Pelodiscus sinensis: one gene and its partner. The protein of the gene in region 1 interacts with the protein of each later gene in a pairwise test. Links are inferred from orthologs where the notes say so. Each region holds a gene or a part of one and is shown on either strand. Other genes may lie near its edges.

Region 1 (7,018 bases):
CTGGCAACCCTACCCAGCACAGGTACAGGAGATACAGGACTAGACAGGCCAGACTGTAAGACAGAGGGACAGACAGAGCAGAAATTGAGAGGCATGTGGACAGCCAGACAGACGGACCATATCTAGAGTCATAGGCATGGGGCAATGGACAGGGAGACCACCAAGTTGCCGGAGGTGGAGCCTTCCAGATAGTCAGGCACCATCCACTCCCAAATGTTACAAAACTAATACAAAATTCCTGCCTCCACCGGCACTGCCAGGCTTCATTCCATGAGTCTCCTCTGTCATGTTCTTGCTCCACAAGTTTCTGGACTTGGAATTATGCCTCCTCACAGGTCTGGGGGGCTTCTGGATGCCTGATGTGAATGGAGCCAATCTGTAATGTTGCACTGCAAGGCCTGGGAGGCCCTCTGGTGGGCCCAAGTCTGAGCAACACACGGATTTGCCAGACAGCTTTTACTCCAGAGATGATCCTGTTCGCGTTAATGCCTTTACCCCAATAGCAGAGCAATAAACATGAGTAGCTCCCCTTAGGTTTGCCACACGTGAAGCCACCTGCCGTGAGCAAGAAGGGACAATGCCACCCAGCTTCACTCCTATGCCTATTGATTTTTCTCCCACCTCCATTGCATGGGGGCTGAGACCCCTCTACAATGGGGAAAGACTCTGTCGCCAGCACCCTGACATGCTGGGTGAAATCAGAGGTTATAAGTAGTTTATGCCATAATGTGGATTCCTGGATTCAAGCCACAGTTCCAATTGGATTCCTGCTTTAAGTGGAAAAATTCAGGTCACTTTGTAACTTTGCCAGACTAACAGTCTTGACAGAAATTTAGGAAATAAATACATAAGTACATAAATAAATAAAATGATGACACCCAAATCAAAACACGTCAGTCCAAGTGCTTAAAGTTTAAAGTTTAGTAAACTTATCAGCCAAACAGGGTCTTATAATGGGAACAAAATACAGGACACTGTAGCACTTTAAAGACTAACCAGATGGTTTATTAGATGATGAGCTTTCGTGGGCCAGACCCACTTCCTCAGATCAAATAGTGGAAGAAAATAGTCACAATCATATATACCAAAGGATACAATTTAAAAAAAAAGAACACATATGAAAAGGACAAATCAAATTTCAGAACAGAAGCAGGATGCGGTGGAGGAGGAAGGTAAATGTCTGTGAGCTAATGATATTAGAGGTGATAATTGCGGAAGCTATCTTTGTAATGGGTAAGATAACTAGAGTCTTTGTTAAGACCCCGGTGACAAATGGGATAATAGGCTTGCCTGTGAAACAGCCCTGCCTATAATATAAAAAATAGCCAATTTTCCAATATTTATTTTTTTAAACTAATAATTTTTCAGAGTGAATGTCCTAAAAGGTCTGTTTCTACCCATGACTGTAGCTATTCAGACACTGAGACAAAAGCTCTTTTAGTGCCAGAGCCAGATATTACCGCCGCAAATCTAAATCTAAATGGAACCTCAACTGGGAGTTACTGGTGGTGCCTTCAAGAAGCATTCTTCCTACTTGACTCTCTCATTGCAGTTTTCAGGATTCTCCCTGTACTGGTTCAGAAATCCCATTTCCCAGCATACATTGCTGCTTACTCGATACTAAAGGATCGTCTGCATTTGGATCACAAGCTGTGCTTATCTGACAATTTAAGTCACCTGCTTTGCTCCCGAAAAGCCTTCCTAAACTCGAAGGAGTGCCAAATAACCTCTAAGGTTTTCTGAGTTCTTTATGTTGTCTTGTATTCACTTTTCTCGGTGATTCTGGCTGCATCTGCGTTATGCTAGAACTTTGGCTAAACTCCACGTATGATTTCTTAAGCAAATGCTCATTAAAGTGTGAGCAGATGCCTTGATTGTTCGTGTTTGACTTCTGTTCTTTGTGGCCTTTTCAATAATATGAGGCCTATAGGACAGAGAAGCCTGCATTGGCAAAACTGACCTGAAAAATCAATTCTTCTTTCCTATGAGCAATAAACAGAAGATAAACTTCTGGATAAAGGAGTATATGACTATTTAGTAACACTTAGAATTAAATAATTAGCTTGATGTAAACAAGACCAAACACACCAGCAAAATTCATTCCAGGTAATTTCATATTCACACACCTACAATTACACACACCAGACAGTCCAGTCTGCGTTCACCATACTACATAATTTGTGTACATGTGTACTCACTCACAGTGCAGAGCTCCTCTACATAACTGCCCAGGAACTTGGGGTTGGTGCTGCAAGATTTTGGGGGTTTGTGCCAGTAGAAAACCAGATCCCCTTGTGATCTCCACTGGCCCGGTGATACTATACTGGCAAGGAGTGTTATCCAGTAACGTTCCACTCCAGTCATTTGGTACAGAAGATTATTTAAAGGATAGGTTACAAATCAGAGTTATTAATTTCACAATTTCACATTTGAGTTCTTTTTAGAACTCTTGGATGAATACCATCTGCTGTGGGTGAATGCCATCTGTTTAGTTTATCTATTTGTTCTAAAACCTCCTCTAATGACACCTCAATCTGGGGCAGTACCTCAGATTTGTCACCTAAAAAGAATGGCTCAAATTTGGGAATCTGCTTCACATTGTCAGCCATGAAGATTGATGCAAAGAATTCATTTAGTTTCTCTGCAATGACCTTATTGTCCCTGAGCGCTCCTTTAGCATCTCAATCATCCAGTGGACCCACAGGTTGTTTAGCAGGCTTACTGCTTCTGATGTATTTAAAACGAAAAATGCTATTACTTTTTTAGTTTTTTTGGCTAGCTATTTGTCAAATTGTTTTTGGCCTTCCTAATTATATTGTTACACTTCCTTTGACAAAGTTTATGCTCCTTTCTATTTTCCTCACTAGGATTTAATTTCCACTTTTTAAACAATGCTTTTTTTTAATCTCTCACTGCTTCTATTACTTGATTGTTAATCCATGGTGAAACTTTTTTTTATTCTCTTACTACATTTTTAAAATGTGGTATATACATTTAAGTTGAGCCTCTATTATGGTGTCTTTGAAAAGTTTCCATGCAGCTTGCAGAGATTTTACTTTTGGCACTGTACCTTTTAATTTATGATTAACTAACATCATTTTTATTCAGTTTCCCTTTCTAAAATTAAATGCCATAATATTGGGCTGCTGCAGGTTTTTTTCCCCTCACAAGAATATTAATTTTAATTATATTGTGATCACTATTTCCAAAAGTTCAAGCTATATTCACCTCATAGGCCAGATCCTTCCCTTCATTTAGGACTAAATCAAGAATTCCATCTCCTTTTGTGGATTCCAAAACCAGCTGCTCCAAGAATCAGTCATTTAAGGTGTCAAGAAATGTTACCTCTGCATCCAGTCCCAAGGTGACATGTACTCTGTCACTGTGGGGATAGTTGAACACTGCAGGAAAAAGTCCCCTAGCATAATCAAGGGAAGCAGCAGCAGGGAAGATTGCACACACAGACAAGTCTCAGAGCAGGAGCCTGTTAGTCTGTATCTGCAAAAACAACAAGGAGTCCTGTGACACCTTCAAAATGAACAGAATTATTTGGGCATAAACTTTTGCGGGTAGAAATAGCCCCAATGCATCTGACAAAGTGCTTTTTACTTAGGTCGTTTTATGCCCTAATAAATTTGTTAGTCTTGAAGATGTCACAGGACTCCTCATTGTTTTTGCATCCTCAGAGTCATTGCCCTGGGGGGGTCACACTCAGGGGGCGCAGGGCCCATAGCACCAGGGAGCAGAAGAGAGCATCTTCCACCCCTACCTGTACAGCACCAGACCCTCACCTGTGCAACCCACAGACCTAGCCCAGCCTGGCTGCTCCTCCAGCCAATCGTTGCCCTGACCTAGCATGGTGGCAGCTGTTTGCCCCAATGACATGCAATCTCCCTCAGCCAATAGGAGGCAGTCCAGTCTCACCCTCCCCCCCGCCCCCTTCCTGGAGCCGGCAGGAGAGGGGGGGGAGGAGTTCTCGCGAGGGTTGGCGGGGCCGCGGTCACGTGGGGCTCTCTGGGCCTATCAGCGTGGCGAAGCGTGGAGCCGCCGAGGCTCCCGCCAAATACGAGCGGGAGAAGCTGGCGCGCCCCGGTCCGCGCGGCCGGCGGGGGGAGGAGTCAGGGCTGCGCTCCGGGGCCGGGACATGGCAGGTACGGACCGGGCCCAGGGCTGCGAGCGAGGAAGGGGGAGGGGCGCGGGGCTGAGGGGGCAGGCGACGCCCCCGGGGTTTCCGTCCCCGCCGCCGGGGGGCTGCTCCTCACAGCGCCCCAGGGAGGTGGAACCCGGCTTCCCCCGGGGACGGTACCAACTCCGCGGGCGGGGGGACCTCGGCCCGGCAGGGGCCCGGGGCTCTGCTCCTGTCTCGGGGGCCTGGGGCGAGGCCCCCCCTGCAGAGCGCCCCGGGGTGCATGAGGGGGCGCGACCCGAGGGGGTTTGTAACCCCCCCCCATGGGTCGTGGGGACACCAGGGGGTGGTGAATGCAAATGGCGGGGGGGGGGCTGCCCTCTGAGGGGCGATGGCCCTGGTCACGCCTAGTCTCCCCCTTTGCGCCTTTGTCACAGGCCCCCGGCACCCTCCTTCTGGCGGTTCCCCCCATCGGGGGAGGGAGCTGAATTTCCCTGCACAGCAGGCCTGGTGCTGGTAAAACCTGTGCGCCTCAATCATTCACCCTCCTCCTCCTGGTCTGGTTGCCCTTCTCCATTTTTGAGAGGGATGGTCTGATCGCTAGTGATGCGGCGGGTGGCAGTGGTGTGATGTCAGTTTAATGTTTCCTGAATGGGGAAGAAATGTGAGCTAAACATCAATGTTGGCGTTTTTCTGCTTACAGCCATGGAGTGCAGAGACAAACCAGTTATTCCCATGAGGAAACTCGTACAAGGTAACTTTCAGGAAGTTCCTGACACAACGTGTTTTCTAAAATATTATACATCGAGTGTTGCATAGACTTGCTAAACCAGCCAATTGTGTTCGGTATATGTAGTAACGTAACCTGTTATGAGTTGAAGGATTGCTTGTACTTTTAAAAACCCATCGACTCCCTCTATTTGTAGTTTTCCCTCTGCTGATTTATATGACTTTACTAAAGTAACAAAATCTTACTATTTCAGCACGGTTACCTTTCAAGCGTTTGAATCTTGTACCAAAGGAGAAGTGTGACGCAGGCATGGAAGTTAAGAAAGCAAAGAGCTCGCAAGATGTTCTTGGTCAAAATAAAGATTCCACTCTTGATACATCACATGCGTCTTTGGACAATATGGAGAATGATTGTCAGTTGGATTCTGAAATGCAGTTCACTTCCAAACTTGTTAATGGAAAGGGTCCGTTAGATAACTTTTTACAGAAAAACATAAAAAATAACGTGAGAGAAACTGTACTCATATTTGACTTGACACAGGACTCTAACGACACTGATGGCCTAGACCACAGTAAATTAAATCCAGAAGCATTTTCATCTATAGAGACAACTAATGGTACGAAAGAAGATACAAGTCCATTTAAGCCCATTCAGAATGCCCAAGTGGATGTTCCAATGGATACCTGTCCGCCCTATGAAGCTACTGCAGATAAGGATGAAGATTCAATAGATACAACCAAACCCTGTTCTGAATTATCAAATATGCAGTGTAATAATATGGAGAATAAGAGGGCCAATCAGAGTGAACTCAAGAGTGTTATATTTGAGGGGAAAATGCCTGTAGTAGTTCTGGAGGATATTATGATTGCAAGGTCTCCCCAGGCTGTGTCTTTGGAAGAAAGTATGAACTCAGAAAATGAGACAATGGAATCTTCTCCTGAAGGAGACTCTATACTTACTAATTCCTCATTAAGCTCCCCCTCTTCTATCAGCTCACCTGAGACACAGCCTGCCCCAGGGAACAGGAGTGATATTAGTCCATTAGCTGCTTCAATACCTGTCCAGAAGGTTGGTTTTTTAAAAATATTTGTTTCATTTCTCTAGCTAGTAGGGATGTAAAAATGCATTTATTTTTTTAAATGTGTAACTGCTGAATTTTATAGTGGTTACATGTTTACATGAGGGAGGGGGAACAGGCAGGAGCTGGTGCTCATGGGGAGCCAGCTTAAAAGCTGGCTCCCCATGATCACCAGCTCCTGCCTGCTCTTCTTCCCCCACCCCACCATGCTCTGTGGGAGGGACAGGTGGCTCTGTGGGAGCTGGTGTATGCGGGGAGCTGACTTAAGAGCCGGCTCCCCACACACACCAACTTTCACAGAGCACCTGCGCTCTCCTTCCCCGCCATCTCTAATACAGAGGCAGTGAGGGAAGAACCGGTGTGTAACCATTAGGATTAACCAGTGAGCCCAGACTGCTTGGTTAATGACTACACATTCACATCCCTAATGGTTAGTTTTTGTGGTGGGAGATCATACTATCCTAGGATTTTTTTAATCACTTTGTTCTGCCATTTCAGGTTAAAAGTCACAAAAAGAAATTCTGAAAAGTATTGTAAGTTGATATATCCGTGCATCTTAAGCTATATATTTTAATGTTATCACAGGTATTTTACGACTTGGTCATGAAACACACCCTCTGACTTTACACCTGGGTATAATATGATGAGTAGTCCTGTGGCACCTTAAAGATTAAAATAAATATATAAGATAGATAAATAGTATCATGAGCTTTCATAGCAAAACCCAAGCTCCTGATACTATAAATATTTTTTAGTCTAAGGTGCCACAGGACTACTTGTTTTTTAAAGTTACAAGACTAACATGTAACATTATACCCTTGGACTGGGTATAATATGTGAATAAATAGCAGTGTCCAAAGAGAATTGTCTTTTTGGGAGATTTTAAAATCTTTACCTTTTTGAAGTGGTCAGAAGTGCAAGTACTCCTACATATACAGGATTGAATTTTAGGTTATGGAAGAAGCTGCTCATGGGTGCAAAATACTGCTTTTAGAATATTTATGTAAAATTGTTTGAAGGATAGAAAATGCTCAAACTGAACAATATAACTGCAAACCCCTGCGCTATGTATGTGGGAAAAGGG
Region 2 (7,019 bases), on another chromosome or scaffold:
AGTTTTCCATGCGGCTGTTCTACAGCTACCCCGCCCCAGAGCTGGCTGCATCGCCCGGCTGAACGAGTCTTCCCCGTGCCGCGTTCCATGCGGCTGTTCTCCAGCTACCCCGCCCCAGAGCTGGCTGCATCGCCCGGCTGAACGAGTCTTCCCCATGCCACGTTCCACGCGGCTGTTCTCCAGCTACCCCGCCCCAGAGCTGGCTGCATCGCCCGGCTGAACGAGTCTTCCCCATGCCACGTTCCATGCGGCTGTTCTTCAGCTACCCCGCCCCAGAGCTGGCTGCATCGCCCGGCTGAACGAGTCTTCCCCGTGCCGCGTTCCATGCGGCTGTTCTTCAGCTACCCCGCCCCAGAGCTGGCTGCATCGCCCGGCTGAACGAGTCTTCCCCGTGCCACGTTCCATGCGGCTGTTCCACAGCTGCCCCGCCCCAGAGCTCGCTGCATCACCCGGCTGAACGAGTCTTCCCCGTGCCGTGTTCCATGCGGCTGTTCTACAGCTACCCCGCCCCAGAGCTGGCTGCATCGCCCGGCTGAACGAGTCTTCCCCATGCCACGTTCCACGCGGCTGTTCTACAGCTACCCCGCCCCAGAGCTGGCTGCATCGCCCGGCTGAACGAGTCTTCCCCATGCCACGTTCCATGCGGCTGTTCTACAGCTACCCCGCCCCAGAGCTGGCTGCATCGCCCGGCTGAATGAGTCATCCCCGTGCCGCGTTCCATGCGGCTGTTCTACAGCTACCCCGCCCCAGAGCTGGCTGCATTGCCCGGCTGAACGAGTCTTCCCTGTGCCGCGTTCCATGCGGCTGTTCTACAGCTACCCCGCCCCAGAGCTGGCTGCATCGCCCGGCTGAACGAGTCTTCCCTTGTGCGGCATTGCCCCATCTCCCTCCCGGTGCACTGATGAGCCCTATGTTCTTCCTTTTCCCCACAGTATGAGAGCCAGACGTCCTTCGGATCCATGTACCCAACCCGCATAGAGGGGTGAGTCCCGGGGGTGGGGAGAGGAGGGACAGGGCGCTCACTCCAAATCCATCCCCCCTGGGACCGTCTGGGCTGACTCTGTCCATCCTCCAAATCTTCCCCCAGCAACCTGAGCCCTTGGGTCCCTCACCATATGGTTCCCCCGCTGATTCCCCCCGCCGCCCTGCCGCCCTCTCCCCTCCACCGTTGCAGTGCTCTTGGGTCCCACCCCGCTGCGATTCCCTGCTGGCTGTCGCCCGCTGTCTCTGCTTCCTCGCCCGTGCGGACTCCTATACCCGTCGCGTTCGCGGGGACCGTGCGAGTCCCCTAGGCCGGCCCCAGCCACAGGCCGGATTTGTTGTCCAATGGCTCCTGCCTCGGCTCAAAACCCCCCAGCGAAGGCGCTTCCAGGACCTCCCGAGGCCTCGTTTCTGTTGTCCTGCTGCTCTGACGCGACCCCTCTGAATTCAGCTCTGTCCCCCAAAGCATTGCCAGCCTGACCCTCGCTTTGCGACGTCGCTAGAGTGCCTCAGCGTGCGGCCCGGACCCACCGCCAGGCGGTGAAGAGATGCTGCGCACCAGGCCGAGAACAGCCCCACACGGGAGAGGAGTGGGGCCTAAGGGTTAGAGCAGGGGGGCTTTGGAGCCAGGACTCCTGGGCTCTCTCCCTGGCTCTGGGAGGGGATTGGGGCCTAAGGGTTAGAGCAGGGGGGCTTTGGAGCCAGGACTCCTGGGCTCTCTCCCTGGCTCTGGGAGGGGATTGGGGCCTAGGGGTTAGAGCAGGGGGGCTTCGGAGCCAGGACTCCTGGGTTCTCTCCCTGGCTCTGGCAAGCAGCATTGAACACACGTGCCTCAGTTTCCCTCCTAAACAATGTGGCGATGCTGCCTAGATCTTCCTACAGCCATGGATTTCCCGCCTCCCCTCCAGGCAGCTGGTTGCAGCCTCTCAACCAGGCATTGTGTTTCCCTCTCCTCCACCCCCCCCCCCCACAGGGCCACCCGCCTCTTCTGTGACGTCTACAACCCTCAGAGCAAGACCTACTGCAAACGGCTGCAGGTGCTATGCCCCGAGCACTCCCGCGACCCCAAGGTGAGGGGCACGGGCTGCCAGTGGGGGGGCAGGGTGGGGGGCTGGCCGCCAGGGGCAACATGAGCCTGACTCCCCCCCCTCCCTCCCTCCGGTGCTCTCCCCAGGTGTCGGTGGACGAGGTGTGCGGCTGCCCCCTGGTGAAGGACGTCTTCGAGCTCACGGGCGAGGTCTGCCGCGTTCCCAAGCGGAAATGCAACCGCCACTACTGCTGGGAGAAACTGCGCCGGGCCGAGGTGGACCTGGAGAGAGTGCGCGTGGTACGGAGCGGGGCTGGCCCGCAGGGGGCGCTCTCCCTGGCAGGCAGGGCCGTGCACGCGGGGGGGTGTGTCAAAATCTAGGTGTCTCCCCTCCCCCGCCATCTGTGATTCCTTCTGATCTTAGAAATTCCCCCCTGCCCCACATCCTTCCCCTCCCCCTTCCTGATGCAGTTGGTTGTCACTGTGTGGCTGTTCTCCAGCGGCCCCGCCCCAGAGCTGGCTGCGTCTTAGGGTCCGGTGAGCCATTGTGGCGTTATATGTGGCTGTTCTCCAGCGGCCCCGCCCCAGAGCTGGCTGCATCTTCGGGTCCGGTGAGCCATTGTGGCGTTATATGTGGCTGTTCTCCAGCGGCCCCGCCCCAGAGCTGGCTGCATCGTAGGGTCCGGTGAGCCATCCCCTTGTGGCGTTACGTGCGGTCGTTCCCCAGCTGCCATGCCCCAGGGGCCGCCGCGTGTAACAGCTCCCCCTGCTGTTGGCAGTGGTACAAGCTGGACGAGCTGTTTGAGCAAGAGCGCAACGTGCGCATGGCCATGACCAACCGGGCCGGACTGCTAGCGCTGATGCTCCATCAGACCATCCAGCACGACCCGCTGACCACAGACCTGCGCACCACCACTGACCGCTGAGCCAGGTGCGTGGCTGGGGCAGGGGTACTGGCTCCCATGGGGCCTAGGGCAGAGAATGGGGCTCGGGGCCTTTCCTCGTGGGGGGCCAGCTCTCCTGTGGCTCCAGGGCGGGGGAAGGGCTTCTGCCGTCTAGGGGGCACAGTCTCCCATGGGGCCGCAGGAACTGGCTTCCTGGGGGGAGGGGTGCTGGGCTGCCACGCTCCCCTAACTGTCCTCTCTCTCCTGCAGGGCCGACGCCAGACGTGGTGGATTTTTCTGGACCCTCATTCTTTTTTTAATGTTTTTTTTAAACTTTTATTTTTTCTTTAAAAAACAAACAAAACAAAAAAAAACAAAAGGAAGGAAAATGTAGCAGAGCTCTGAGTATGATCCTGCGCTGGCCCCCACTCGCTTCTCCCCCATCTCTGGGTGGGGCTTCTACTTCCCCTCCTGCCCTGCCCCCAACCCCAGGCCCATCATCTCCCCCGCCGGCCCTTGCCTGCCCACTCCATCCCTCCTGTTTCCGGCTTGTCCTTTTCCACGGCTCTGGCACCCATGGGTGTTCCTCCAGGCATGGGGCTGTATCCCAAGATACAGAGATACGAGTTCTGCTGGGGTGTGGGCAGGGAGAAGTGGGGGGGGGGGGGAATGAATGAGACGGGCCTAATAAAAACCAAGTTTCAAACAGAAGCATCCTTTTCCTGAGATCTGTGCCTCTGGGGGAGTGAGTTCAGAGTGGAGAGCTGGCCTGAGCTATTCCCCCCTCCCCTACCTTGGGACAGGGAGGTTAACCTGCAGCATGCCACCTTGCCTGCCCTATTCCCCTGCTCCACCAGACCCTGCGGCGGGGAGTCCCAAAGGTTAACGCTCTGGCCGGGCTATTTATCCAGCGGACCCTGCAGCGGGTTGTTCCGCGGGGTAACACCCGTTCCCATAGCGGGTTACGGGCCTGAGATTACCCCCCCCCCGGTCATATTTGCATAGACCCGCCCTCTGGGCGGGGCCTAGGCCATATCAGCCCGCCCCCCTCAGCTGACCCCGCGTGGGCCGCAGCGTGGAGCAGGTGGGAAGCGGCGGGTCGGGGGGGACCCGGGTCTCTGCCCCGCGCGCCGCTTCCACGTGAGCCCCCCCCGGCCCCTCGCCCCCAACAGCCCCCCCGCCCCCCCACAGCCCCCCCGGTCCTCTCCCCGCCCCCCCGCTACCCCACAGCCCTCCCCCACAGCCCCCCCGCTACCCCCCATCCTCCCCGCCCCCCCGCCCCCAACTCCCTCCCCGCCCCCCCGGCTGCCCCCAAGTCCCGCCCCCCAACCCCCCCGCGGCTGCCCCCTCCTTTGCCCCCCCAGCCTTCTTATAGGCCCCGCCCCCAGGCACGTGACCGCTCCCCCCCCCCCCCCCCCCCCCCCCCGCTTTCCGGTTCCGGTTCGAGCCCCGCGCGCCGCCCGGGCTGCGGCCGCTGCTGCGCCACGAGCGGGGCCCGCGGGATGGAGCCGCCGGCGCGGGGGGGGCCCGGGAGCCGCCCAGCGGTGAGGGGGGGCGGGGCCGCGGGAGGGGGCGGGGCCGGGGGGCGCACTCGGGGGGCGGGGGCTGGGCCGCGCGGGGGGGGCCCTTAGGCAGGAGACCCCGGGCCTGGGGGGGGCTGGGAACGGGCGTTGGGGCTCCGGCCCCGCTGAACCCCCCCGCCCCCCCATCACACTGCCCCCCCCGCTCCCGCTGCCCCCCCATCACACTGCCCCCCCATCACACTGCCCCCCCTCCCCGTTGTCCACCTGCCCCCCCAGTCCCGCTGCCCCCCCGTTGCCCCCCATGTTCTGCCCCCCCGGTCTCGCTGCCCCCCATTGCCCCCCCCCGCCGTGTCTGCCTTGTTTATGTCCCTCCTGCTCTGTGCTGCCTGGGGGGGCTGGGGGGGGGCGGTGCTGCCAGGCCCCTCCCGGCGCAGTCGGCCGGTGCTGGCCGGTGCCTGGCGGCGCTGCCCCCGCTTGGGGCCGAATGGACCCGCGGCTCCCTAGAGCCCCCCGGGGGCGTTTTGGGGCCCCCCCAGCCCGGGAACGTGGCACAGCTGGGCCCAGTGCGGCAGCCGCGCGTCCTACGGCGCCTCTGCCAATCGGCGCAGCCCCGCAGGGCCCCTGCGACCTGCTAGCGCTCGGGGGGTGCCCCTCGCCCGCTGGGCCCCCCCACAGCTGGCCGGCCTGGCTCTACCTGGACAGGCGCTGCGCTATGGTGGCACCAGGTGCACGGCTCAGGCCTTCTCTGGGGGGTTGGCCAGTGGCCCAACAGGCCTGCGTGTGGCCTGGCTGCGATCGGGGGGCGGGGAGGCGCCCTGGCTTCTCGGCTGCCGCGGGGCCGTCTGTGCGGTTCCTGTTGGCCCCTCCCCCGGGCGCCCGAGGGCCCCTGTCAGCTCCCGGGGCCCGAGCTGGGCTCGGAGGAGCCCGCCTCTGGCAGGTGGCCCCAGCCGGAGCTGGGTGGCTTGCGTCTGCGACTCGGCTCGTGACGTGGGGCTGAGGTTTGTGCCCGACACGCTCGGTGCGTTTTCTCGGCAGGGAGAGGCTGTCGCAGCTCGGGCTGGAGCTGCCAGTTTGCCAGTTGCTCAGGTCTCACGTGGTGTGGGCTGAGGGGGGGGGGGGGGAAGTCGTCATTCCCTCCCCCCCCCCCCACCCCGCACGAAAAGGGAAAACAAGGGGGTTGAAACGTGTAGGCCGGCCTGGTGTCTCCAGGCCAGCGCCATCCTCTGAAATGGCGTTAAACGGCCGTGAGGAATTGGCTGCCTTCCCGGCGGGAGGCAATTGCGTGGCCCTGCGGGCTTGCCTGGCACAGAGGAAGAGCCGCACGGTCCCCGGCGCTGGCTGCCTCTGGGACAGGCCCGCTGGGGAATAGCAGGCGCCGAGGGGCGGCCAGGTTTGGAGCGCAGGGCGGGAAAGCGCCGCGGGTGGCAGGCTAGTCTGGCGCAGGGGTGCAGCTAGGTCTGGGGTGAGGCCGCTGGGGAAACAGCTGCACGTAACGCAGCTCGGGGAGAGCTCGCTCGGCCCTGAGATGCAGCCTGCTCTGGGGAGAAGCAGCCAGGGACCGGTCACGCACGGCGCCGCTGGGAGTGCCCTGCTGGAGCGTTGCCGTTGGGCGCGCTCCCTTATCCGAGGGGGCAGCGCCGGGCTGGAGCGACTCCCGCTGGAACGGGGCCAGGCGCTGGAGCGCGAGCGTCCGGCTGGGCCTCGCACTGACCTTGCAGCCGTGCAAGCCGAGCGGCCGTGTGGGTCCTTATCTCCTCCTCCCCTCCAGGGTCCCGGGACTGGCCGGATCCGGCCTGGCTGGGGACGCTCATGCCGAGGGCCCCTCCGCCAGGGAGCGGGGCCGCGGGGCCTGCGGAAGGAGCCGTGCTCCCAGCCCGAGCAGTGTGAGTCAGGCTCCCCGTGGGCGCTGGCTCCCAGCCACTCCCTGAGCAGGGAGGGAGGAAGGACACATGCCTTCCATCTGGGCTGCTGCCTCCGCCTTGGTGGGCGCCGGGAGCCCAAAGCCAGAGCCCTCCTGGTGGCCCTGGGGAGGCGTTATGTGTGGCTGTTCCTGGCTGCCCCACCCAAGAGGTGGCTGCATCTCCGTGCTGGGCGCATCCTCCAAATGCCTTGGCTGCCCTGCCTGAGCGATGGCTGCCTTGTAGCGTCAGGAGAGCCAGGCCGCTTCGGCTCCATGTGGGGCTGGTCGCCTGTTTCCCCGCCCCAGAAGCGGCTGCATCTCCGGACTGTTGCGTGCCTGCGGGTTGTACGGAGGGACGGGGTTTTCTGCATGCGGCGCCTCCTGCGTGCTGGGATACGGCCCCTCGCCAAGGAGGGTGGCGTCAACTAACGGATGGACCAGGAGAGTCTCCTCAAGCTGCGGGAGTGGGGCCTAGTGGTTAGAGCAGGGTGCGTGGCTCTCTCCGCGGCTTGGGGGCGGTGGAGTCAGAGCCAGCCCAAGTCCTGGCGGGGGGCTGAGTCGGCCGTGCCCCCCCTTTCCTGCATCCAGCCATGCTGACGCCCCCCCGTCTCTCTCCCTGCAGTAGCTGCTCTGCCGCCGCTGCCCCGGCTCAGCGCCATGTCGGAGGGCTGGCTGGACTGCCCCGCCCTGGGGCCTGGATGGAA

The links. The genes of interacting proteins can lie anywhere in the genome.
Region 2: the proteins of CHAF1A (region 1) and methyl-CpG-binding domain protein 1-like interact in binary tests that used the Homo sapiens proteins (3 or more experiments, as listed by UniProt). The link is inferred for Pelodiscus sinensis from reciprocal best matches to the Homo sapiens genes CHAF1A and MBD1.

The regions. Positions count from the first base shown.
Region 1 is NC_134729.1:22,504,910-22,511,927, forward strand, and holds the start of CHAF1A (chromatin assembly factor 1 subunit A), read left to right. Parts: upstream 1-3,998; 5' UTR 3,999-4,144; coding exon 4,145-4,151; intron 4,152-4,829; coding exon 4,830-4,880; intron 4,881-5,109; coding exon 5,110-5,924; intron 5,925-7,018. UniProt on the Homo sapiens protein: Acts as a component of the histone chaperone complex chromatin assembly factor 1 (CAF-1), which assembles histone octamers onto DNA during replication and repair.
Region 2 is NW_027465846.1:174,617-181,635, forward strand, and holds the start of methyl-CpG-binding domain protein 1-like, read left to right. Parts: upstream 1-3,955; 5' UTR 3,956-3,976; intron 3,977-4,308; exon of another isoform or gene 4,309-4,436; intron 4,437-5,390; exon of another isoform or gene 5,391-5,413; intron 5,414-5,783; exon of another isoform or gene 5,784-5,805; intron 5,806-6,187; exon of another isoform or gene 6,188-6,224; coding exon of another isoform or gene 6,225-6,298; intron 6,299-6,412; exon of another isoform or gene 6,413-6,747; coding exon of another isoform or gene 6,748-6,803; intron 6,804-6,937; coding exon of another isoform or gene 6,938-6,972; coding exon 6,973-7,019. Other genes in the region: CXXC1 (CXXC-type zinc finger protein 1), read left to right, coding at 933-982, 1,955-2,051, 2,156-2,308, 2,788-2,934. UniProt on the Homo sapiens protein: Transcriptional repressor that binds CpG islands in promoters where the DNA is methylated at position 5 of cytosine within CpG dinucleotides. Binding is abolished by the presence of 7-mG that is produced by DNA damage by methylmethanesulfonate (MMS).